Tamandua tetradactyla: one gene and its partners. The protein of the gene in region 2 interacts with the protein of the main gene of each other region in a pairwise test. Links are inferred from orthologs where the notes say so. Each region holds a gene or a part of one and is shown on either strand. Other genes may lie near its edges.

The links.
Region 1: the proteins of ARL15 (region 2) and PDE6D interact in binary tests that used the Homo sapiens proteins (3 or more experiments, as listed by UniProt). The link is inferred for Tamandua tetradactyla from reciprocal best matches to the Homo sapiens genes ARL15 and PDE6D.
Region 3: the proteins of ARL15 (region 2) and UNC119 interact in binary tests that used the Homo sapiens proteins (3 or more experiments, as listed by UniProt). The link is inferred for Tamandua tetradactyla from reciprocal best matches to the Homo sapiens genes ARL15 and UNC119.

The regions. Positions count from the first base shown.
Region 1 is NC_135329.1:207,759,037-207,767,250, reverse strand, and holds the start of PDE6D (retinal rod rhodopsin-sensitive cGMP 3',5'-cyclic phosphodiesterase subunit delta), read left to right. Parts: upstream 1-4,897; 5' UTR 4,898-5,096; coding exon 5,097-5,146; intron 5,147-8,214. UniProt on the Homo sapiens protein: Promotes the release of prenylated target proteins from cellular membranes. Modulates the activity of prenylated or palmitoylated Ras family members by regulating their subcellular location.
Region 2 is NC_135335.1:100,504,985-100,513,332, forward strand, and holds the start of ARL15 (ADP-ribosylation factor-like protein 15), read right to left. Parts: upstream 3,331-8,348; 5' UTR 3,224-3,330; coding exon 3,176-3,223; intron 1-3,175.
Region 3 is NC_135332.1:51,779,196-51,787,105, forward strand, and holds the start of UNC119 (protein unc-119 homolog A), read right to left. Parts: upstream 3,611-7,910; 5' UTR 3,499-3,610; coding exon 3,273-3,498; intron 1-3,272. Other genes in the region: GPI-anchor transamidase component PIGS, read right to left, coding at 5,240-5,515, 5,880-6,090, 6,867-6,967, 7,610-7,755. UniProt on the Homo sapiens protein: Involved in synaptic functions in photoreceptor cells, the signal transduction in immune cells as a Src family kinase activator, endosome recycling, the uptake of bacteria and endocytosis, protein trafficking in sensory neurons and as lipid-binding chaperone with specificity for a diverse subset of myristoylated proteins.

The DNA of each region.
Region 1 (8,214 bases), on a different chromosome or scaffold from region 2:
TTGAGACAGAAATAGCCCCGGTGCTAAGTAAGGACTAACAGAAATAGTCAGAACCTGAACAGAAGAAATCTCAGGCCCTGGCAGATGCTAAGTTAAGAGATGAAACCCAGAGTTTTGCCCCCGAACATCTAAGTGAATGCCCACAGACACTTAGAGAGGAAACCACTGGCACCAGAAGCTGGATGCAATGGAACTGGGAACGAGGACCAAGGACCAGCAGATACCAGCCACGTGCCTTCCCAGATCACCCTTCCTTGAGCCAAGGTATCTTTCTCTAGATGCTTTAGTTAGGACATATTTATGGCCTTAGAAGTGTAAACTTGTAACTCATTAAATTCCCTTTTTAAAAGCCGTTTCATTTCTGGTATTGCTTTCTGGCCGCTTAACAAACTAATACATGGTCATTCGTTTGTCAATTCAGCAGTAAAGAAGGCATTGTGCTAGACCACTTTTTGGAGGCCAGAGTGAGGAAGGGGAGCAAATAGACCCTGAGCACGGATGATTCTTTCCACAAACTTGGGTGTGATGGACAAGAGAGAGCAACAGCTAAAGGGAAGGAAGGCCAGAAACATAAACATGAGTACATACATAGAGTCAGAGCTTGAAGAAACCACACCAAAACTTCAATGGGGGTTTTCTCTGGGTGATGGGAATATAAGTAATTTTTTGTTTCTGACTTCTTCCACATTTTCTACTAAGGTTTTATTTTGATCAACGACGTTTCCTTTAAAATGTAAATATCTCCCCAGAAGATTTTCATCTATTTACACTTCAGTATCAACTATCCAACTGAGGCACTTTTTACCTTCTCAGAAGACTACCCAGGCCAGCTAAGGTGAGTGGAAGGGAAATTTGGCCATTGGAAGCCACAGCCGGATCAGTGAGTGGGAATTAATCCTTGAACAGGAAAGAGCTAGTCTACAGGTCAGCCAGTTAGAAGTTATCCTGTCCTTGCGGGGCTGTAGGGAGATGGGAAAACCATACTTACCAGAACTTCTCCCAGGGAGAGTGCTAGGGTGGTTGAAATGCATCTTTTTTTATTTTTTTATTTTTTACATGGGCAAGCACCAGGAATTGAACCCGGGTCCTCGGGCATGGCAGGCAAGCACTCTTACCTGCTGAGCCACCGTGGCCCACCCTGAAATGCATCTTTTGATGGGCTCCTAGAGTGGAGGTGGGAAAGGTGTTAACCTCTGCTCCTCCCCAAGCTCTAGTAACCATCAGTGGTTACTAAACTGCCTTCTAGGAAGGGAAGAAGCTTCTATAAACTACATGTTGTTTTGTTTTTATTTTGGTTTTTTTGGGAGGAGGGAGGAGTGGATGCATGGTCCGGGAATCAAACCCGGGTCTCCCGCATGGAAGGCGAGCCTTCTACCACTGAACCACCAAACTACATGCTTTCGTTTTGGGTGAGTGGGACCAGCAAGAGCTGTACTTGGTCCTTCTCCTACCCTGCTCGGTACTTAGTGCCTGCACATAAATGACCTACAAATAGTCAAGACTGTGCAAAGGACAGCTCCCATCCATCCAGTCATTCTCAGTTCATAAACATTCTGGCAGTGACTCCTCTTCCTCTGGAATAATGTCCAGACTCTAAGGCTGCAGTTAAAATCATTCATAGTGAGCCTTTTCCCCTACCCTTCCAGCTGTCTCCCAGCACCCCCTTCACAGCCCAAACTCCAGGCCTTCCCATACCCAACACACTTGCACTTTCCCTCTCTGACACCAAGACCTATGCTCAAACCTGTTCTCGTCTATTTGCAAAGCTCTTCTCTAACTTGCCTGCTAATATCCTACTAACCTTGTAAGCAAAGATTTCTTAAACTGGATGAAAAATCCACTAACCAAAAAAGAAAACACTGACCTATCGCTCTACTTGAAATTAAGAATTTCCATTTATTTAAAACATTCCAATAAGAGAGTGAAAAAAAAAAAAACAGTTGGAGAAGATATTTGCAAAGCATATGTCAAAGAACTCGTATCCAGACTATATAAATAACTGCAAAATCAAAAAGAAGACAATCCAATTTAAAAAAAAAATGGGCGTGAGACTGTAACAGGAACTTCACCAAAGAGGACATGACCAATAAGTATATGGAGAGGCAATTACCATAATGAAAGTGCAAATACACAAACACAGGCTTTATAATGATTATATGGATACTTTGTTTAAATATGACCATGGTTGAGCTAACTAAAATGTCTACTTTTGTTGGTTCTAAACGTATTGTTTGTTTACTTAAATAAAAAATACATAAAAAAAAGTGCAAATACTTTTTAATGAGAAACCATGTTTAGCCAAAATGGCTAAAATTTAAAAGATCCCGTAGTGACAAGGGTAAAAGGCAATTAAAACTCTTTTACATTGCTGTTGAAGGCTTAAACTGGTGCAATCACTTTGGAAAACAATTTGTCAATAACTAGTAATAACGATCACATACAAACTCTACAGCCAATAACTCCACTCCGAGAAATGAGTGTACATGTCCGTAAAAAGACACATATATTTAAGAATGTTTACTGCACTGCAAGAATATTTCGTGGCTGGACGAAAGCCGGAAGGCTGGTGTTTTTAATCATCAGTTAGTTGATTGCATCTGTGGCTGATCACATCTGCGATCAACTAAGGCATATCTCCCACAACGAGATAATTCAATCAGTTGAAGGCTTTTAAGGAAGAAGAGAGACTCGCTGCTTCTTCAGCCAGCGAGCCTCTCCTGTGGAGTTCATCCAGACCCTTCATCAGAGCCACCAGCTTCACAGCCTGCCCTACAGATTTTGGACTCTTCCATTCCCATGGTTGTGTGAGACACCTTTATAAATCTCATATATACAGGGGAAAAAAAGAATGCTCATTGCAACTTTGATAATAGTAACCAAAAACTGATAACAACCCAAATGTCCTTTGACAGAATAGGTAAATAAATTGTAGTTTATACATTCAATGGAATACTGCTCAGCAACAACAGCAAAAATAAGCTACCACTGCACATAACCTGGATGAATCTTCACAAGAATACTGATGAATGAAAAAAGCTAGACACAGAAGAGAATTTTACTGTATGATTACATTTAAATGTAAGCCAAGAACTGACAACTAATCTATGGTGGTAGGCGTCAGAATAATGGTTATCTGGGGATGGGGGTGAAGTTCTGATTGGGAAGGGGCACAAGGGGTGCAAGAAATGTGCTATATCTTGATTTGAGTGATGGAGAGACAAGGGTATACAAATGTGAAAATGTCTCTTAGTAAACGTCAGTTTCCCTCAATAACTGAAAAATTTAAAGATAAACATTTTTTAAAGTAGAAAATTTCACACACCCTTCAAGTTCAAATGCTACCTCTGCCATAAACTTTTTTTCTGTTTACATGGACAGGCACTGGGAATTGAACCCGGGTCTCCCCATAGCAGGCGAGAACTCTTCCTGCTGAGCCACTGTTGCCTGCCCTGCCATAAACTTTTGATCAGTTGTAATAAATCTCTCCATCAGAACTTCTGTAGCATTCTGACATCATTCTTTTCTGCCATTTCTCACACTTCACCTTGTATCTAAATGAAGCTCCCTATTTCCCTAACTAGGAGATTAGCTTCCTGGTGGCAGTGGCCAAGTCTTTCACCCTTAACCCACACATAGCAGCTGGTAAATAATGGAAGCTGAAAACATTTGTTTGATTACATGGAAGAAAAAAGATTGGGTGGGTGCCCAGAGGGGTGAAGGGGTAGGGGGTGGGGAGACAGGAATAGGAAGGAAGGCTTAGGATAGAGAAGTCCTCCTAAGAAACCCCTGCTTAGACTGCAGTTTTACTTAGTTCCTGAAATTGCATTAAATGCCAGTTTGAGTGACAACTGATACCAAGACTCACTTAGACTAAAGATAAACAATCACACTCTTTCATTTGCAGGTAATTCGCTAAATAAATACTTGCCTAACCTCTGGGTGTTTCAACCCTGTATGGGAAAACTGTTCAACAAGGCCAATCACATAGCCATTCTCCTAAAAATATCACCATGCTAGTGCAGTGCTAAGAGCTCAACTGGGCTCAAGGGGCTTAAAGCCGAATTCTAACTCTGCCTCAACTTACTTGATCTGCGGCCAGTCTCCTCTCCTCTCCAGACCTCAGTTTCCTCATATCTAAAACAAGGGATGGATCAGCAATTTTTTTAAAGCCCCTTCACGAATATGAGTTTACAATAGATAGCTCTACCTCCAGTGCAGGACATACCAGAAACCCTTAAAAGCCACGTAAAAGGCACCCCAGACCGGCAAGTAAGCACGATTTGAAGGAGTTTTGTTACGTATTGGTTTAATCATTATTTTTGTTGTTTGCAGTCTTACCACGATTTGCAGGAGCTGTGAAAAGAAGTTAACTCTCCTTGTGCTGTCATCTTCATTGGAGGGTGAAGAGGACCTTCCTGCCAGGTTTCAAGGCTCGGGATTCAGAAACCATGAAGCTAGCTGGCGGGTTTATGAATTTATGCACAGTGCCGGGCACACTGGGGTCTAAATTACACAGAAGCGGAGTGCAGAGAATGCTGGGAATTGTAGTCCCTGGCCTCTGTTGCTTGCTGAGAACTGTGATCCCCGGTCGCGCCCGTGGAGTTCTGGGAAATGTGGTCTTCATCACACCGCATAGTTCAACTTGCAGTCACCTCAGAGCCCTTATCGGGCCCAGAGGCGGTGACAGTTCCCTCGAGCTTCTTCAGATGATGTGAAGTCAGCCCGCCTCTGGGGCAAACTCCAGGCAACACCGAATGAAAATTTTGTCCTAAGGGACTTCCCGGGGAGGGTCCTTCCCATTGACGCTTACCGTCCCCCCCGCGAAGCCGCTGAGTGTTTTTATAGGCTGGCCAGGATGCCAATCGTCGAAACCGGCTTTTCATTGGCTTTGGGGTGGGCACTCGGGGGCTAGGGGAAGGAGAAGGGATCAGGAGCGGGAGCTGAGGGAGAGAGAGAGGCCGGTCCAGGTCGGGCCGCTGCCGCTGCTCGCCCGAGGACTCCAGGCCCGGCTGTGGCACTGTCCTCGGTTCCTGGGCACCGTCTGCGAGGCTCCGCTGGGCCAGCATAAGAGAGCTGCGGGAGGCGGGCGCCGCATCATGTCAGCCAAGGACGAGCGGGCCAGGGAGATCCTGAGGGGCTTCAAACTGTATCCGCCCGGGAGCGGGGCGGGGCCGGGAGGACTTGGGAGACGGCAGCTCCCTAAGGAGATGGGCTGGGGGTGGGGGCCGCTCCAGGTGGACACCTGAGCTGGAGGGGAGCGGGAAGGGAGAGGAAGGTACAGCGCCCGGGGAATGGGGCGTCCTGAGGAAGGAAGGGGACGTTGACGGGAGCCCCGGGGGTGGAAGACGGAGGAGCCCGGGAATTGGCTGGGAGGGGTGCCGGGCATCCGAGACGGGTGTCGGGGAGACCAGTGTGGTTCCGAGCTCGGGCTGGGACCCAGAGGCAGAAAAGGGGCTGCAGCCCGGGGGAAGGGCCGAGGGGGGCGCGGCAGGCTGGCCTCGAAGCTTAGAAGCCCGGTTGGCAGGAAGCCCACCGGGAGAGAGGGCAAGAGTGACTTGCGGCGAGTGACTTTGTGTGGGACAAATGCCAATGCTTGTGCTAAATCTCTCAGATCCCCCTACCCCACCACCTTCGTCTGGTTTCCACAACTTCTCTTCCTCACTTGTGGCTTCTTCCAGGGCCCGAGTAGAGGAAGTTGTGGAAAGGGAAGTCCGAGACCAACCTCATTTCAGCTCTCTCTTGGTCTTTTGAGGCATTGGATGCTCACTGCTTTTCCCCTCAGCTTTTCACTTTTCTTTCCAGAAAAATGAAGACCACGAACTTGCGTGAGCGATGCTTCGAGGTACTTTGGTTTTTGCCTTGGGACGCCTAGCAAAGGTGTCTTTGCTTGCTCACTTTTGTGGTAAATGCCTGGACCTGGTGGTGCTGTCCAGCAATTAAACATGGTTAGGTTGGGTAGAATAGATAAAAATCATTGCCTCAGGCTTGTAGTGATGCGACTTTTGCTACCTTCTCTCCTTAATGCAGTAAGGGAGCTTTGTGTTTTAATGAGGTATCCATCTGTAACCATATGATGCAGATGAAAAAAAATGCAATCTTGTATATTCCGATTATGTATTTTCCTGCTGATCTTAATCTCTTCTTACATCCTATCCATTCAATTCCTTTCTCAGTGAAAATGCAGTCATCACCTTCTGGCTCCCCCACTGGAAGTTTAGTGAAGTCTTGTGCAGTTCTCCAAGGTGTCTGTTGGGTTTTCACAATGCCCATTTCACTCCAATTAAATTGTGTTGTCATAATTAGAAAACAAGTTGGTAACAATTTTTAGAACACAAAATGTAGGAAGTTTTGGATGTATAAATGAAATTTTTCAAATGGAAGTGGACTGCTCTGCTTAAAACAAAACAAAACAAAGCAAAAATTTAAAGTTGTATCACCTTTCATTCATGATAAACTTTCAGTACGTTTATGTAGTGAATCTTAGTAACAGCCTTTTTTATAGTTCCATGGATCGTTCCATGTTTCTCTTCATAATGGAGCCTATAAAAAGAAAGAAAAAAATTTACTTTTAAGTATTTTATATTGCTATTTAACATGTATGGTTTAGACAAGTAAGTTGGAGACTGTGGAGAGTTGGGAGATTTCAGAAGCAACTTTTTTGACTGATTGGAAATAATTTGTTGCTAAAAACAAGAGGGTTTTAAAAATTATTATTATTGCTTTTGAACAAAGCAGAAAGGGAAATTTGGCGCTTCTCACCTTCTCTTGGCTTTTGAACCAGTTGAGTAGGAGGCTAAGGAACAAAGATGGAAAAAAGTAGAAACAGAATCTGTGTTAGCCCACTAGAAGGGAAGATGAATTAACCAATACAGTCATGACACTCGTGTGCTAAGAAACAGGCTCACAGGAAAAAAAAAATCAAAAAAAGTTTGATTTGAGCTAACTAAATCACAAAGCACAAGGGAAGCAGCCACTTAAAGTTAGCATGGAAGCAATGAATTGCACATCCATCCTCTAGTAACCTTTATGGCAACTGAAAATGAAGAGAGAAAAGGAAAGGAGTTTTAAGATTTGCTATTAAGCTTTAGAAAAAAATAAAATTAGTGTTTTGGTGAAAAACAACCAGACCGTTGGTCGACTTCTTTTTTTTTTAACATGGGCAGGCACTGGGAATCAAACCCAGGCCGGTGGCAGGCAAGAACTCTGTCACTGAGCCACCGAGGCCTGCCCTGTTGACTGACTTTTAAAGGAGGGTTTTTTTTTTTCTTTTGCAAAACAGTCAGGAAGGGCAGGGTCCTGGAATTAAACCCAGGTCTCCAGCCTGGCAGGCGAGAATTCTACTACTGAGCTACCCTTACCCCACTGTTGGTTGCCTTTTAAAGTATAAATTGTTTTTTTGAACTTTGTTTTGGAGTATCTGTTTCTATAAGAATAGTTTATTACTAAAAACGGGAAGCTCCATTTTATTTTCCCACCAACAGTGTTGACAATACTCATTCCCCCCCATTCACTACATCAGTCTTTTTTAATTTTGCTAATTTGGACAACCAATGATATCTTGTTTTAATGTGTGTTTCCCTAGAGTCCTAAATCCCTGGAGAGCTAATAGATATAGTAGTTAAGAGCTATACTGGACAAGTGTTGAGCTGTTCTACATGCTTTGGTATCCTAGTTTTGTGTCCTTAAGCAACTTCTTTAACCTCTGCCTCACTTTGCTCATCTGTAAAATGGGGATAATAACAGTACCTAACTTACAGGGTTGTGATGATTAAATGAGTTGATAATCTAAAGCATTTAGAAAAGCACCTGTTGCATACTAAGCATTATGTGTTAGTTACTATTATTGAGAAATTGCAAATCTTTTTCTGTATTTGGCCATTTCTTTTTTCTTCTGTGACTTGCTTGTTAATTTTGTTTTTGCCTATTTTACTATTGAATTGTCTTACTTCCTCTGTAGGTATTCTTTAAATATTTTAAATATTTTAATATTAACTCTTTGCAACATTTATTATAAATTATATATTATAAATATATGTTGCAAATATTTTTTTCTCAATGTGTTCCTTTTCTCTTGTGTGGTTATTGAGCAGGATTTTTAAATTGACATGTCAAATATCAATATTTTTAATATAGCTTCTGTATTTTGTGTCATGTTTTAAGATTATCCATATCTAAGCTTAAATATCCTCCTCTGTTTTTCTTCTCTTTTTAAAA
Region 2 (8,348 bases):
CTAGGGAGGTCCCTTATCAAATGGAAAACAGAGACTTATTTTTCAATTGCCACCCAGGTTAAATAAACCACATCTTGATAATCTTAAAGTTAAGAGTAAAAGATACATTCTGCATTCCCCAGAACAAAATACCTAAGCCAAACAGATTTTATCTTGTCTTGTTTAGAAACTGGTGAGAAAAGTAGAATTGTCCCTCCCATCTCATACTGATTCAGTGCAATAAATGAATTCTGGGCCTGAATACCTGCCAGGAACCATGTGAAGCACTGGGTGATACTTATATTTATTTACAGTTAGTAAGTAACCACTTATTTCCCTGAACTGAAGTGAATAAAAACCTTGTCTTAAATATGAAGGTACTGTCCCTTACCTTGCCTATCTTCTGAGAACATTCTTTTAAATTAAGATAAGAAATTATCAGCAACTTCTAAAATGAGAGGTTTCTTCATCTGCTTTAATAATTTAATCCTATTAAAAGCTGTTAAAAATAGCATCTCCATCTTTCTCTCATTTCTCTTCCTTTCCACTCTCCTCCACATAAAAAGGTGATAAGATCCAGTTGAAAGAACAATGGACAGTACATGCACACACACAGCTCCCTCTTCCAGCTTCCAATAGCAACAACAAGAAGATAGTAAAAAACGACTAAAACAAGAAAGAAAGAAAAGGCAACACACCAATGATTCCTGTCAAGTGCATGGACTGGACATTTAATCTCGTCCTCAAGATTAGCAAATTCTGAAGAATCAAACTTAGAATTAAAAGGAACATGGAGTGGGGGAGGAATACATAAAGGAGCTTGAGAATTGACTTATTCTAAAAATAAGATCCTAGACACAAAGAAATTGATTTTTATTTTTTGGAAATAAGTTTTCAATAAATGCCATACAAGGATAATGTCTTAGCAAAGGAGTCACTCTGAAAGGAAGAAGAAATGAATGATGAGTGGTACATCCTTTTCTCTGAAAGTTATACAAAACGACCACCTCAGGAGAGCTGAGTTTTGTTTTTTTATTTTTCCAGTCTTAGTTTCAGCAAAAATAGGTCTTAATGCTTAAAGGTTTTATTTATTTTTTTTTTTCCTGGCATGGGCAGGCACTGGGACTCGAACCCAGGTCTCTGGCATTTCTTTAATCTTTTGATAAAGGATATGTAGTACCCTCATAAAAGTGAACTGTTTGCTTTAAAATATTTTCCTCACTTTCAGTGATAACCCAAGCAATGTTAGTCATTTCTTATGGGACTGTTTCACTGCACTTGTGAATTTATTAAAAAGCAAAGTTAAAGTAACAGAATAATAATTTTCGTATTATGAAAGCAAAACTAGTATGTAGGGAAACATGGCAGATAAGACAAGAAGGCCCACGGATTTTGACATAAAACTGACCCTAAACTGGCAAAGAAATTAATCTGCTTTTAGGGTAACATTGAGCTCCACAAAGCTTCATCCACCCACCTTTCCTTAGACTACACCCATTTAGAGATTAACCTGAGTAACCAGTATTTCCATTACTCTATTCCTAAATGTTGGGTGCATTTGCACTTAAAGACAGCCTCTGTGAGGCAATATGTAGATTTAACACACACACAGTAAATAAAGAAAATAAAATGATCAGAATCACTTGATTTTATTTTCAGGAATTATTTAATTAAATACCCAAAATTAGCTTTCAACATTATAGGCAATGTCATCCTTTCATATTCGGTAATTCTACTGGGCTTTAATTTAGGCATACTGCAAGACAAAAATCAACATACTGTATCTTACAAGACAGTTTACAAATTAATCATTTGTCCAATTTAGAAAATAATGTTTGGGATCTATCTGGCAAGTTTCTTAATTTATATGGCACTCCGCATAATCAAGTACCCTCCAAATCAGATAATCCCCTTAAAGGTAGTGGGGTGAGCTGCATGGAGGAAGTTACTACCATCAGCAACAGAATAACAAAACAAAATCTGAACTCAGAATTTTTGGCTCTTTTAGTGCGCTCTATTCACTACATGCATTAAGTGCAATGACCATCCTTTCCTACAAGATCACCAAGCCATGAAGCTTTAGGGGAAACATTTTCTTCAAGTAAACTAATGTATAAGCCTAAATAAATTACTAAATCAGAATTCCTTCAGCGCATTTTTATCAGAAAAGCATTCACAGTCTTTCATTTAAAGCATTTCACAGTCTTAAGTGTAATTCCTAGAAGGCACTGGCGAATCTCCTAGAATTGCCAGGCCAATCCGCAGTCGAAAATCAATGCATGTGTCCCAGGGGATGACAGGAGGGTCAATGTTTTAACTCTCCACTTCAACTCTGCATTGCAATAGCGGTTCTAGCTTGGAAGGTAAACATGGAAATTGTATGGGAACACAGCCAGTGTAAGAATGAGGATCCCTCTAACCGCAAACATGCAACTCTGGGGAAATGAAATCGCTGGAACAACATACGACGCTTTCATAATTCCACAAACATATATACAAATCCACTTTCAAAATAATGTCCAGGTCCCAACTCTGTGCGGACACTTTTCCCACCTAAACTCAGCACAAGCCTGGCCTAGAAGAACAGCTAGGATCAATCCCGTGCACAGCGGCATGCACCCGCAACCTGAACGGCGGGACAGTCCTGTTCCGGCCAGGTGGCGATGTAGTTTAGTCCAGTCTCGTTTATGGTAATGTGCTTTTAAAACCCTGCCGCGACCGAGGTCATAGCTTTAGAGATCTAATAACAACCAAATGACTGGGGCTGCCGGGCACTTAGTGAGCCATTCTGGTTATGGCTCTTTAATAGTACCTGGAGTCCTGAAGGGAAAGCAGAAAACTCCGGCTTCCCGGGAAAGAAAAGTCCTCTGCGGAGAAGCAAAGAAACCTACCACGGACGCCCCGCCGCCCGCAGCCCCATTTCTCGGACAGCCCCAGCGCTGCCCTAGCCCGGCAGCCCGGCTGGCCCCGGCCTCACCTTTACCTGTCGGCTCCACCACCCCCCTGCCCTGCTGCGCTGCTGCCCCGGCTGCCGCCTCTCCAAGCCCCGGGCAAGCTCTACCGCCGCTGCAGGAGAAAGAACCCCAAAGGCATCCCATACCAAAGAAAGAAAGCAAAAAGGCTGTTCCTCAAGGCGGAGGGACATAGGGCACGCCGAGATCTGAGAGGCGACACGCCACCCCTGCCCCGCACCTACCAGATAATCCATGTACAGAAACGCCTCAGTTATCCGGAGATCAGACATCCGGCAGCCTAAAGCATCCGGAACGGCTCCGAACCCGGAAAAAAAAGCAGCGTCTCTGACTGCGAGCGATCAGCCCCTGAAAAGCCAGCAACAGCGAAAATAGCCGAGAGCAGCCGAAGAGCCGAAGATTACACAAGGGGCGCGGCGATTGGCCAGGCGGGAGAGCAGAGGGAAAGGAGGGCACTCATTGGCTGAGGTGCCTATAAAAGGCAGGCCTTTGCTGAAGGCTGGTGAGAAGCGCGGGAGAGGCGAGGCCGTAGGTGTCTATGAGCTAGAGGGGCGTGGGCTGGGGAGGCGCAGGCGGAAGAACGAGCGTAGAAAAAGCGGAAAATCGCCAGATACTGCCGCCTGAATGCTGTGTGCTCCTGTAGCCTCAGATTAGGTAGAGGGAACAGAACCCTGGGCTGCAGTCCCCCAGTAGAAGCAAGCACTTTAACGTGGGAGGAACGTAGTCGCCGACACTTAATGTTTCTCTCAGGAGCGTTTTCCTAAAGGCTCTGAGGCCACGAGACATACTGCAGGGACAAGAAGGGTGTAGGAGCATTCTTCGTGAACAGACAAAACTCCACCTGACTTGGGGGCGGAAAGACCCCTCCCACCTTCATCACGTGAAACTGCTAAGGTGAGCAACGTCAGCCTGATGCCCCTGGGGGCGCACACACGTTCCCATCGCAGCCTGGAGCAACTCGGGAGACGAGGTATTATCAGAAACTCCCAGCTCCTGAAAAGAAAAAAAAAGTTTGGAGATTTGGTACAGTCAGTTGCAGTTCCCAAACACTGGGAAGGAGAATTCTTTCAACACTTTGAATCCACTTAACACTGATTACAAATCCAATGCCCCTGTATAAAATTTAGCAGGAGCATAAGAAGCTCTCTGAAAAGACCCGAGTCATGTACTATGGCCCGCGTTACTTGAAGAAGTGAAAGTACCTATGAGCAGAGGGACTTGAGACTTGTGCTTTTCCTGGTGAATAACTTGGGAATTGGAGTTGGATTTCAAAAGTACGCTAAGCTGATAAAGCCTGAGTCTGACAAGAAGCCGAGTAAGAACTCTCGAGGCTGTAATTGAAGATTCAGCCTTTTGAATAACTATAAGTGCCAGACACACCTACCTTACTAGGCTCAGGTGATTGGGTAACTTCCAGGGTTTAAGGAGAAAGGAGAATGAAGAAATTGCTCTCACTTGTATTAATAATTAGTGCTTCCATACAATAATATTTCACGAGTGCAACTTCTTTAGCTAAAACCTTTCTGGGTTTTTAAATGTATTCAAATGTTGATTTAGGGATTGAAGTTGAATTATTTTCCCCCAACTTTGCACCTTCCCTTTTTGTATTCCCAGGTACTGAATTTCCAAACAATAAGATTTCTCAGGCTACCAATGCAATTCTACTGTTAGAAAACAGTGGCATTCACCTAACTCTGCAGCTAACCTTGAAAGGAATATAGCTCCTTAGAGAGGGCTTAAGGTTGTTGAGCCATATGACGTATTGGGTATGTTATCTAATCTACCTGAGTATGTTCATTCAGTGGAGAAATGAGAACTACACCAGTTTTTTTTTTTTTTTTTCACTTGAGACATTCACTGTATTTGTAGAGGGGTGGGGAAAACAGTGGAATGAGAGATACAAAACTGGGAAGACAGGATGCTGCAGGTGCCAGGACCCCCTAGAACTCCTCCCTCTCATCCACACCGTCCCTAGACTCTGTGTCCACTGCTTCATAATCCTTCTCCAGAGAAACCAGGTCCTCTCGGGCTTGGGAGAATTCCCTTTCCTCCATACCCTCACCCGCATACCAATGTACGAAAGCCCTCTTGGCATACATGAGGTCAAACTTATGGTCAAGGCAGGCCCAGGTCTCAGCTGTGGTGTTGTTTAGCATGCAGACTGCCTGCTGCACTTTGGCCAGGCCCCGCCCCAGGAACCACTGTTGGGCTGGTAGTTGATGCAAACCTTGAAACCCACGGGACACCAGTCCACAAACTGCATGGTACGCTTCTTTTTGATTGTGGCAATGGTGGCATTCATGTCCTTGGGCATCTCCACGTAAAGCATGCAACAGACCATGCACTTGTCATGACAAGGGTCACACTTGACCATCTGATTAGACAGTTCAAAGCAGGTGTTCTAGTTTGCAAGCTGCCAGAATGCCACTTACCAGAAATGCAACAGCTCTTAAAAAGGGGAATTTAATATGTTGCAAGTTTATATTTTAACAATTGTGTATTACATTTCAAAATGTGTCTTGGTAAAAAACCTGATGCTTCAGAACTCTATATGGAGCCCAGTTTTTCAAATTAGGTTTTAATCTTCAGGGTATTAATGGATCCATCCTTGTGTAGAGAAGAGACTAACTTGACTGTGTTGGTATGAACAGATAATACACTATCCACTAATAATAGATAATACTACATGAAATGGTGGTATTAGCTGATAGGTTTGATAGCAAAAACTGTAATCACTCAAATGCATGCTTTTAAAGAGAGTGTACAGAGGTTAGAATGCATTCATTCAACCTACTCCACTATATACCAAGTAATGAGCTGCAGTCTTGAATAAGACATGGTATCATTAATCTAGTCCTGCCTTTGCCCTCCGTAAAAAGAACGCCCCTCTTCCAAATGCATAGGAAAACATGTATAGACTTGTTGAACAATGGTATTGCACAGTTCCGGAGGAACGAGGCCATCTATGCTGCTTGTCAAAAGTAAGGGGAAACTCTGTTGACAGTCCATACTCTACAATTCTGCAAAGATGGCTGGCTAACCAGATTTTTGTTCAAATGTCACTCGTAGGAAACAAAAACAGAACTGCATTTTTTACAAATTGGTCCCCTAAATTTTACCATGCCCCCAAATCAATATCTTAGTGGCTATTTCCATAAAGTCTTTTTGTTGTTCATTTGCTTGATGAATATATTAACTTACAGAAGAACACTGTCTTTACTAGTTTTGGGTCATGCACGTTGACCTAATATGTTAACTTCACCATATGAAACTCTTATGAAAAATTATTAGAAATGAAATTGCTAAATTACTTTTTTTTTTTTTTAACATAGGTCAGCACTAGAAATTGAACCTGGGTCTCCAGCACGGCACGTGAGAATTCTGCCACTGAGCCACTGTGGCCCACCCTTAAAATGCTTTTTAATACTCATTTTTGTATTAGCTTATAGTCTTCTTTCCCCCTACTCCAAACTCCAAAGTAGGGAGTGTTTATCTTCTTTGATCCTTGCATTCTTTGAGTATATTATTCCTTAATAGCTAAGCGACATGTCTTTCATTAGAATCACTCTTAAACTATGGACACCCCTTTTTCAGAAAAATGGAGGTGTCTGTACATGGACTTCTGCAGAAGTCATTCAGGCGCTTTTCTCATTTACTGCCTCCTGTAAATCCTATGATCTTCAAATTCTCTTCTGAGCCCTGTCCCTATTTTTCAGGGTTGCCTTAACCCCCACCTCTGCTTTACCCCTTCTTTACCTCTTCTTGACCCCTCCTCTACTTCCTAAACCTAAACAAAATTCGACTATCTCCTAGGAGATGAGCCTTACTGGAGCAGAGTGCTCCCACATAAAGCTGCTAACAGTATGTGATTATTAAATGGAAGAGATTGAACAAAGTTAGAGATTAGAATTAAGATTAAGATATTCTGGCATGGGTGGTTCAGTGGCAGAATCATCACCTTTCATGCAGGAGACCCAGGTTCAATTCCCGGACCTCTTGTAGTTAGAAAATTTAAAATTTAAAATATCTCTATGTCAAATGAAACCTATTTTCTCTTCTACAGGTAGATGCTCAAGTCTCATACATCTCTTCTTTAAAGCTCAGTGGCCTGAAGTCATGATAAACTTCTGCTGCTACTTAATTATATGAGTTTGGGTAAGTCACCTATTCCTTTTGGACTTCTCTTTACACAGCTATAGAATAGAGTTAGACTAATCACTGAACAATTAAGGGTTACTTCCAGATCTAGAGATCTATAGTCCAGGTTCACTGACTTATCCTTTTTTCTCCCAGAAAGGATTTGCTGGGTATTGGAGTATTACAGCAACAAAAGACACTTAAAATGAAAATTCACCATTTAAAGCAAGAGTAAATAATTATACTAGGAAAAGGTGATTAGACCTTATAAACACCAAGTATCATGAAGCTATGCATTCATTTCGGTATGTCCCCAAGTTTAATTAGCATCTTAGACATGGCACTGCACTGCTGACAGTATTAGTTTCCTGTTGGTGCTGTAACAAATTACAACACATTAGTGGCTTGAAACAACATAAATTTATCCTCTTAGAGTTTAGAGGCCAGAAGTTCAGACTGAGTCATGATCTGGATTTCAGCTTCTTGCCTCTACTGGCTTCAACGATCCTTGACTTGAGGAATAATTCTAATCTCTACCCCTGTGGTCATACTACCCTCTCATCTTCTGTAGTCTAATCTCCCTCTACCTCTGGGAGACTAGATGGTATATAGGACCCACCCAGATAACCCGTTTGTGTCAAGATCCTTAATTTAATCACACTGCAAAGTCTTTTCTGCCATAAAAAGTTACATTCACAGGTTCCTGGGATTAGGACCTATATATCTTTGGGGGCCATTAGTCAACCTGCAACATTTATCTTATGATATGAAGAAAAAGTAAATATTTCCATTCTTCCAGAGACAAGAATAATTCATTAATGACTTGGCATCAGAAAACTGGGGATAACCTCTCAACTTTCAAACGAATTTGATAACTTAAAACTTTCAGATGCAGCAACTAAAGTCCTTTCCATCTCTACACAGTCCAGCTATTTCTCATGTGTTCTTCTTCCCATAGTGTGTCATCTCCTATTTTACTTTTGGTTTCCATTTCTTTTGATTACATCAATATTAACTTTTCCATCAGATCATCTCCACTCATTTCTTTTCTTTCCTTGTCCATGGCTAAACTTTCCACTTCATAATATTTATCTAGACTAACTTCCTTCCTTTAATTTTATTTATCTGATTTTCATAATATGATTAGTTCACCCCTCTGCACAACTCAAACTCTATTAGTCAGTTGTTTCTATTCCAGTATTTATAATATTTCTATTAGAGAAGGATAAAAGATCTGAACATATTTAATTAGACAATGCA
Region 3 (7,910 bases), on a different chromosome or scaffold from region 2:
CCGCCCAGAAGGCTCTCTTGCCAGCCCAGCTTCTGGGGGACCCCAGAGTAGCTACTACTTTCTCTAATTCCTAGGATCACTGCCCTCCAGAAGGAGGAAATTGAAACCCTGCCCTGGAGGAGCCCCACACTGTAGGGAAGACAGAGCTCTGTCGTTGGGGTCTATGGGGAACAAACCCCATCCTTGAGGCCTCTGGGTGTCAGGGAGGGGCAGAGTGGGTGGAGGGCAAGGCCACCTCCCCCACCTTTCCCCCCACCCTGCAGCGGAGCACTCTGTTCCAGGCTTGGCTCTGCCAGAGGGTCTCTCCAGCATAAACCCTCACCATGAGAAAGGCCCAACCTTCAGGAACCTCAGTCTAAATGGGCTGGTGCACCTCTGCCTTGGGAGACACAAAGTCCATCTCTGGAGGAAGTCCCCCAATCCCAGCCCATAGCTGCCCCTGACCCACTACATGTAGATGTGGCAGGCTGGGCTGATCTTGAGGGGACATTCCTGAACATGGGTGGTCCTGGGGCCAGTGAATCACTCCTTCTCTGTGCCCCCTCACTACACACCTCTCCCCCTCAACCCCCTGCTTTCCCATAAGCGGCTTATGGAAGCCCAGCTCTCTTAAGCAGCTTAGCAAAAGCTCTGCTGACTCAAGCCCAAGAGCCTGGAAAACTGTGGAGGGGGGAAGGGGAACAACTTTGACCCCACTCTTGGTTGATGTCCAAAAGGGGGAAATCTTAGCAAGCTGAGGGAACCCCCTCAAAGATCATCTAGGCCAGCCCAGGTTCTGAGCTTCCCTCACCTTGGCCCCCACAGAGAAAAGCACAGGCCGAGCCAGGGTGAAGGTGTGGCAGGGACAGTAGGGGGTGGGGGGTTGTTCTCAGGCCCAGGAGGGAAACCAGGAACAACGAGGGGCATGGCCTGCTCTTGTAGCAGCAACTTCAAGTGCTCTGCTAGGAGAGGCCCTAGCAACAAATAGGAAGGAGAGGCACAGTGGGGGGTGGGGGTGCACAAAGCACATCTTCCCCTGGCTGCCCATCCCCCGGAAATCACTCTCTAGGCCCCTGGGCCATCTTCTATTCCTCTGGGACAGGAAGAGGAAGTGAATGTAAAGTCATTCGCCTCTTCCCAAGCGTGGGGCAGACCCCGCCAGCAAGTTCTGCTGACAGCCTGGGGCCCAGCGGGGGTGGGGTGGGACACAAAGCTTGGGGCAGGGTCAATCACAGCTTGGAGGGTAAAGGAAGGGGGACGGAAGTAGGGAGCCCCTCCTCCTACTGATTTTCATAGAAAGTTAGCACTAGTCTAAAGATGTAGAGAAAAGGTACAGGGCCTAGGGAGAGGCGTGGGAGAGGTGGAAGCAGAGTTCTAGTTGTCCAACTTCCAGCCCCTGGTAAGGCTCCCCTTTTTCCCCTCACTCTCCAGCTTTTCACTGGGGAACAACCTTTGCAGTCTGACTTCATTCTCTTCTACTGTAAATTCGATATACCAAGCCCTCTGTCCTTACAGGAAATGAAGATTGGGGGACACCCATGGCTCAGAATACCACAGCCACTCCCTCCCTTCTGCCAGGGAGTGATGAGGATTGGGACCCAGGGTCAGGCCAGAATAAAGGGCAAAGAGACTGAGGGCTAAAACCACAACTGTTCCCTTCCCCTCAGCCACAAATAGCTCCCTAAGCTGGATTCTGGGTTTGATAATCCAGGAACTGCTAACCTCAGGCCAGTGTGATTAGGGTCAGAAGAGACAAGGGGGTGCCAAGGCAGAGAGCCCTGAGAGCATTCTCATCCCCTGGGGTTCTCAGCTTCTGCAGAGGAAAGGGCTCCCATGAAGCCACTTCCCCTACTCACAGCCCACAGATGCCCCATCTCTGAGGGCTATGAATTTCCCCCCAGATTAGGTGACTTCGTGGGATGTGGGCAGGAAGCCCTTTGAAGTTGCAAAACATCCCCAGGACTCGGGTCAGACAGACCTCCTGACATCGTCTAAAATTCTGCCCCAGAGTTAAGCTGAATCTTCAAAGATGCTGTTACCAACTGGGCTGCAATTGACACCGACGTCAGCCTGGTTTTCCAGCAGTGCCTACTTGGGCAAAGGAGCTCAGCACTCCAGGGGCCCAGTCAAGAATGGCCGCTATCTGGCTCAGACAGGAGGGAGCTGGGCCCTCAGGGGCCCAGGTGCACAAGCCCAGGCATGTCATCATGGCCCTTCCACAGATGCTGCACTTGCAGCTCCAGGCTGCAGGGCTCAGGTCCTCTCCAGCACCTGCACTCCATCCCCACAGGGAGGGACCCCTGGCCCCACCCTCTGACAGAGGGAGCCAGATCCACTGCCTGTCTGAATGCCACCCAATCTTCAAAGTTCAACCACCAACTCTGCCATGAGGCTTCCTAGTGACTTGTTCCTCTGTTTTGAATGCCTACTTGCCTGCCTCCAGGCAGCAGCTCTGCTGAGCCCTCAGGCTTGTAGGTAAAAAGGTCCTATTTACAGAGCACTTACAGCATGCCAAGCACTGTGCAGAGCATTCGATTTTCATAACCCTATGAAGTAGGAGCCACTATCCCCATTTTGCAGATGTAGAAACATGCTCAGAGGGGTGAAGTTACTTGCCCAAGGTTACACAGCCAGTGACATGGCAAAGCTGTAACACACCCAAGCTGTCCAGCTCAGAGACTTCATAGTGGAGACCCTCCCCGCAGCTCCATGAGTGCCTCAGGTAGAAGACAGAACCTGCTCCTCGCTGGAGGGGGGGGCGGGGGGGGGGGGGAGGCAGGAACCCACTCCGTGGTAGGGACGGGGGCCAACCCACGGAAGCGTCCTGCTCAGTTCTGCTCCAGGCCAGGGGGATGCCGCCGGGGCCCCAGCCTTCCTACACGATCTCCGGCGAGGGTTCTGCTGTCAGGAAGCCCTTGGTGGTCTCGATTTTTTCAGGGGCGGGGACTGGGGACAGGCCCCAAAGGGCTCTTGAGGACTGCATGGGTAAGGGGCTATGGTTGCAACTGTTGCCCCACCTCCATCACGAGAAAGGGAATAGGACTCTCAAAAAAAGAAAGCGGTGGGGAAGAAATAAACATTTAAAAGAGAGAAGGGACTCCCAGGGTAATCAAGGGAAGTGGAGACAGTGGAACCTCAGGCTTGGAGCCATAAGGAAGAGGCATAAAGGTAGGGGAGGGGGACGCGGAGGGGCACCGGGTGCGGGAAAGGGGGCCGGGGCTCCGTGCGCCGTCAGGGCCCTGCTGCCCGCGCGCTCTCGCGCCCGCGGGCGGCGCTCCCTCGCCGGCGCTCACCGCCAGTGATCCGCTGCAGCCCCAGCACGTCCTCCGGCCCGATCGGCTGCTTCCTCTGCAACGGCCCTGGCCGGGGCCTGGGGCCCGCCTCCAGCTCTGACTCAGATCCGGATTCGGATTCCGCCGGCGGCTTTGGCTCGGCCTTGGGCTCCACGTTTGGGCCCGAAGCCCCACGAGCCGGTTCCGCCTCCGTCCCGGCGCCGCCGCCGCCCTTCTTCACCTTCATGGCCTCGCAGGCCCGCGGCTCCTACTGCCGCCACCGCTGCCTGCGCCGGCTGGAGCCGGGGAAGGGGAGCGACCGCAACCCCGCCCCCGGCCGGGGCCCCAGGTACCGCTCCGCCCCTCCACCGGGGTGGGCCCCAACCCAACCCCGCCCACCCGCCGCAGCCCGGCGGAAAGGGGGCGGCGCGGCGGATCGACGCTCTCCCTGGGCTTCATTCTTTCGGTAGATGTTTCAGGGGGTTCTCCCTACAGCTCCTGGCTGTGCGCCAGTCACTCTGCCCTTGACCCATCAAGCTCGTCCCAGCCTTCGGGGTCTTTGCCTGCGACGCTCTTCTCCTATATGGTCTCTTCTTGTCCACTTGGTCCCAGCTCAAATGCCATCTGCTCAAAGGCCCCCAGCAGTCCCACTTTTAAGTACACCCTTCCCCCCCACCCCAGCTGCTATCTGATCAGCCTGTTTTTTCTTTCTAGTACAGTTACCTGAAGTTATTTTAACTTGCTCCCCGACCCTTCTCCCTAAAAGATCAACTCTGTGAAAGCAGAACCTGTCTGCTTCATTCCCCATATACCCCCAGCCTCAAGCAGTGTCCAGAAAAGCCAGTGCTCTATAAATTTGCTTTTTACTAACTGATGAATTAATATTTGTTAGTACTCACTGATTCTCTCCCAGAGCCTTTGCTAAGATGCAGAAATAGCTGCAGCAGCCTTGTTGGACAACCCAGTATGCACAGAGAGATAACAACCCAGGTGTCCTGCCCTACAGAACAGAGACAGGCAAAGCACATGGCCAGGTGGAGGTGAGGCAGGCCTGTGAACCCAGGAGGGTAGATACCAGGAAACGGTCACTTACACGTGATTGAAAGAATTCAAAGTATACCCATCCTTCACATGATTCTAATTCATATTCAACCAATGTTTATTGAGAGCCTAGTATGAGCCAGATACCTTTATATGCTTTACCTCGTTCAATCCTCATAACCACCTAGTGAAAGAGGTATCATTAGTGCCATTTAACAGGCAAAGAACTGAGGCTCAGAGAGATTAAGTGGCTTATCAAAAGCTCCACAGATGACAAGTGCAGAAGAAAGGATTTAAACTCAGGCCTATTTAATTCCAAGTCCAGAACTTTTCTCACTGTACCACACTGCCTTTCTAAGTGGGTGAATGGAATCTCTCCCACACACACAGCACTAGGTCCTGAGCTGCTTGCTGTCTTCTGGACTCTTATCTGGCTGTACCAAGAGGCATGGCCAGCCAGGCGGGAGGGGAGGAGGCCCCAGAAGTGACCTATGCCTGGCCCTTCCATCACAGCAGTGCTGGGGCTCTCCCGGAGGGATCAGAGAGAAGTGTTGAGTCGGGGGATCCAACCCAGGAACCCAGGGCTTTCCCCTAACATTGCCTTCTTGGTAGGAGAGGAATGTGCCATGTTGAGAAACAGGACAGAGTCACAAGCTGCCCCTGGCCTAGAAAGAAGTCAGCAGGGGCCTTCAAGTTCAAGTCAGATATGGAGACCCAGATGATGCCACTTTTTGAGGAGTGGGGTGATGGGGGAAAATGGAGCCCAGGAAATGGGACAAGAGGAGAGGTGAACCCATCCTGGAGTGCTGTACTTTGGTTGTTGGAGAGGCAGTGGAGGCGGCTAGAGACAAACAAGTCGTCCTGGCAGGCTCCCTTTATAAGTCTCTCAATCAAACACCTCCCACCCTGGCCAGAAAAGAAGAGTCCCTACTGAGATGTTGTCCTGCTCAGTCTATCTTCTCAGGCTTCTTCCAGGACTTGCGTGTCTCTAAGAAGATCTTGGCCAGGGACAGGAGGATGGGCACAGCCATGGGCAGGAAGAGTGGGATGTAGATTGCAAACTTCTGGTCATCAGGGAAATAAAGGAGATGGAGGAGTGAGGGGTCAAAAAAGGCACGCTCTGAGGATGTCACAGCTTCCTGGCTGGCAGTGAAGGCAGAGGCCAGGTGTCCAGCGGCCAACTCCTCTGTCGCTTTCTGGACTGCAGCTACCGCTCTGTACACCTAGAAATAGGAGCATTTCAGTGGAAAGTGTGCCTTCTGTCTACCAGGGCCTACAGTTTGCATAAGGTATGTGAAAGGTTATGGGGGTATTTTCTTAGAGGCAGTGGAGGAGGCTAGAGACGAACAAGTCATTCCGGGCAAGCCCCATTTATGTGCCTCTCAATCAAACACCTCCTTCCCTGCTCAAAATCTCATACTCCCATTTCATCTCCTGCTGTGGAGCTGGTACTGCCCACTGAGGCACTTAAGGATGGCAGGCCCACACATGCCCTGGTGGTATGTGAGAACTGGCTCTCTTTGGTCTCACCACACACTGGCCCTCGCTGGATTCTGAGGCCACAAAGTCCACCCCATGCCCATTTACCTCAGATGCCACATCATCCTTGATAACAATGTTGCTGATCTTGCCCAGAAGCTGGGCCAGGGAGGTGAGGGTGGTGGTGGCCGTGGCTAGGTTCTCCACTGATCGAGCCCAGAGCAGCCGGTCCAGCTCCCACGTCATTAGCCCTTCACTCCTCGGCCCAGAAAGCAGACATTTCAGAGGCACCTGGGGCTGAGCAATCCCAAAGAGCAGCCTGCAGGAAGAGAAAAGTAAGATCAAGATGGCTGATACGAGAAAGTGGTAGAAGGCAGCTAAGATTCCTCAAATATCTGCCCCAAAGCCAGATTCTTGACCTTACTCAGAACCACAGGGCTTATGGGGAAGTGCCTCAGGGTCTGGGTCTGGGGAGTCAGCAGCAAAACCCAGGAATCAGAGCCCTAAATCCTACTTCAACCAGTGTTTCCACTTTTACCTATTTCTATATATGAATTTCCAAGATCTTACTTGAAAAAGGTTCCATGGCTAAAAAATATCTGATCAAGTATACTGATTTAGTTTAATCCCCTCACCCTCTCTACCCTCTCTTTGGACAAACGGGCCCCTGGGACTTAGAGATAAGGGATGATCCAGGGCCACCTATGACAAGGCTTGGGTGCAGTGCCTCTCTAATTCTGCACCCAGGGTAGACACTGCTAATCGATCAGAAGAATACTCTTTCTTGATGAACTCAGAAACAACCGTAGAATCCATCGATCACTCAGTACAAGAATTAACAGCTGTTTCCTCAAGCACCCCTAATCACACCTCATGGACCTGACATTCATGAGTCTACCTTTCTTAAAAGGGAGCTTGTCCCACAACTAGACCTTCTTAGGAAAAGGAAGATGCAATCTTTGGAAACCTCTCCGAGCAAGGTATTCCTGCCAGGTGAGATTTCATTCTGATCTGAAATTCCCACCCTCTACAGTCAAGGAGATTGTCGCTAGACTCTCAGTGGCATGCCCCCAAGTGGATCACCCGGGACCTTACCGCAACTGAGCCAGGAACACCTCCATTACCCGCACCATGTCTACCTCCACTCTCACCGGCAGCCCTGAGGCATTGTAGGCTTTGGGGTCTACGTTGTATATCTGAAAGGAGGGATGAGGTTGCCACACCATCACGCCAGGAATGTGCACAGTTCTGCCCCAGACACCCCTGGCGACCATGTGCAGAGCTGTGCACAGAGAAAGGAAGGACAGTCTCTGTCCTTTAGAAGCTACAGCTAACACTTACTGGGAGCTTTACATAAATTATCTCAATTATCCCCTCAAAAGACCTGTAAAATGATATTTTTATCTCATTTTAGAGTTTTCACCTATGAAGAACTCCTAGTCTAAAGTTGGGAGACAAAAATTCCCAACTTTGCAAGCCTCCCACACATAGGGCCAAGATTAAAAATGTATACAAAGGGCAGGCCGCGGCGGCTCAGTGGCAGAGTTCTTGCCTGCCATGCTGGAGACCCGGGTTCAATTCCCAGTGCCTGCCCATGTTTAAAAAAAAAATGTACACAGAATAGTCCTAAGTAAGTGCAAAAGGTCATATTACATAAAACACTGACAGAGATAAGAAACAGTGGGGCAGGTTGAGGAAGGGAATGAGCACAGAGCACCTCACTGCCTTGGTGCCTATAGCTGGTGCCTCCCCCTCCTCCACCAACAGAAGGAAGAGTCTCAGGGAACATCTCTCTGTCACTGAAGCTTGAGTTCTGGGGTATGCAGTGTGACTATTACCATAATGCCACCCCAGCGGGGGCTGTGGAAGGCATTGGTGGCCACCAGAGCCCCGTCCTTGTCCTGAATGTAGAGGGGAGAGTGGGCAAGCTCAGGCACGTAGAGTAAAAAGTTGAGCACAGGGTAAAGAGAAGCAGCGCTGGATCCTGTGGCACAGAGAGAAGGGTAGACAGAACACCAAAACACAATGGACCTAGCTTAGTTCCAGATCAGCCTCTAATGTGCCAGTCACTCACTTCGGGCCTCAGTTTCCCAACTGCCCATCTCTACCATACCCTCCAGTCTTGGGTTTCTGTGGCAA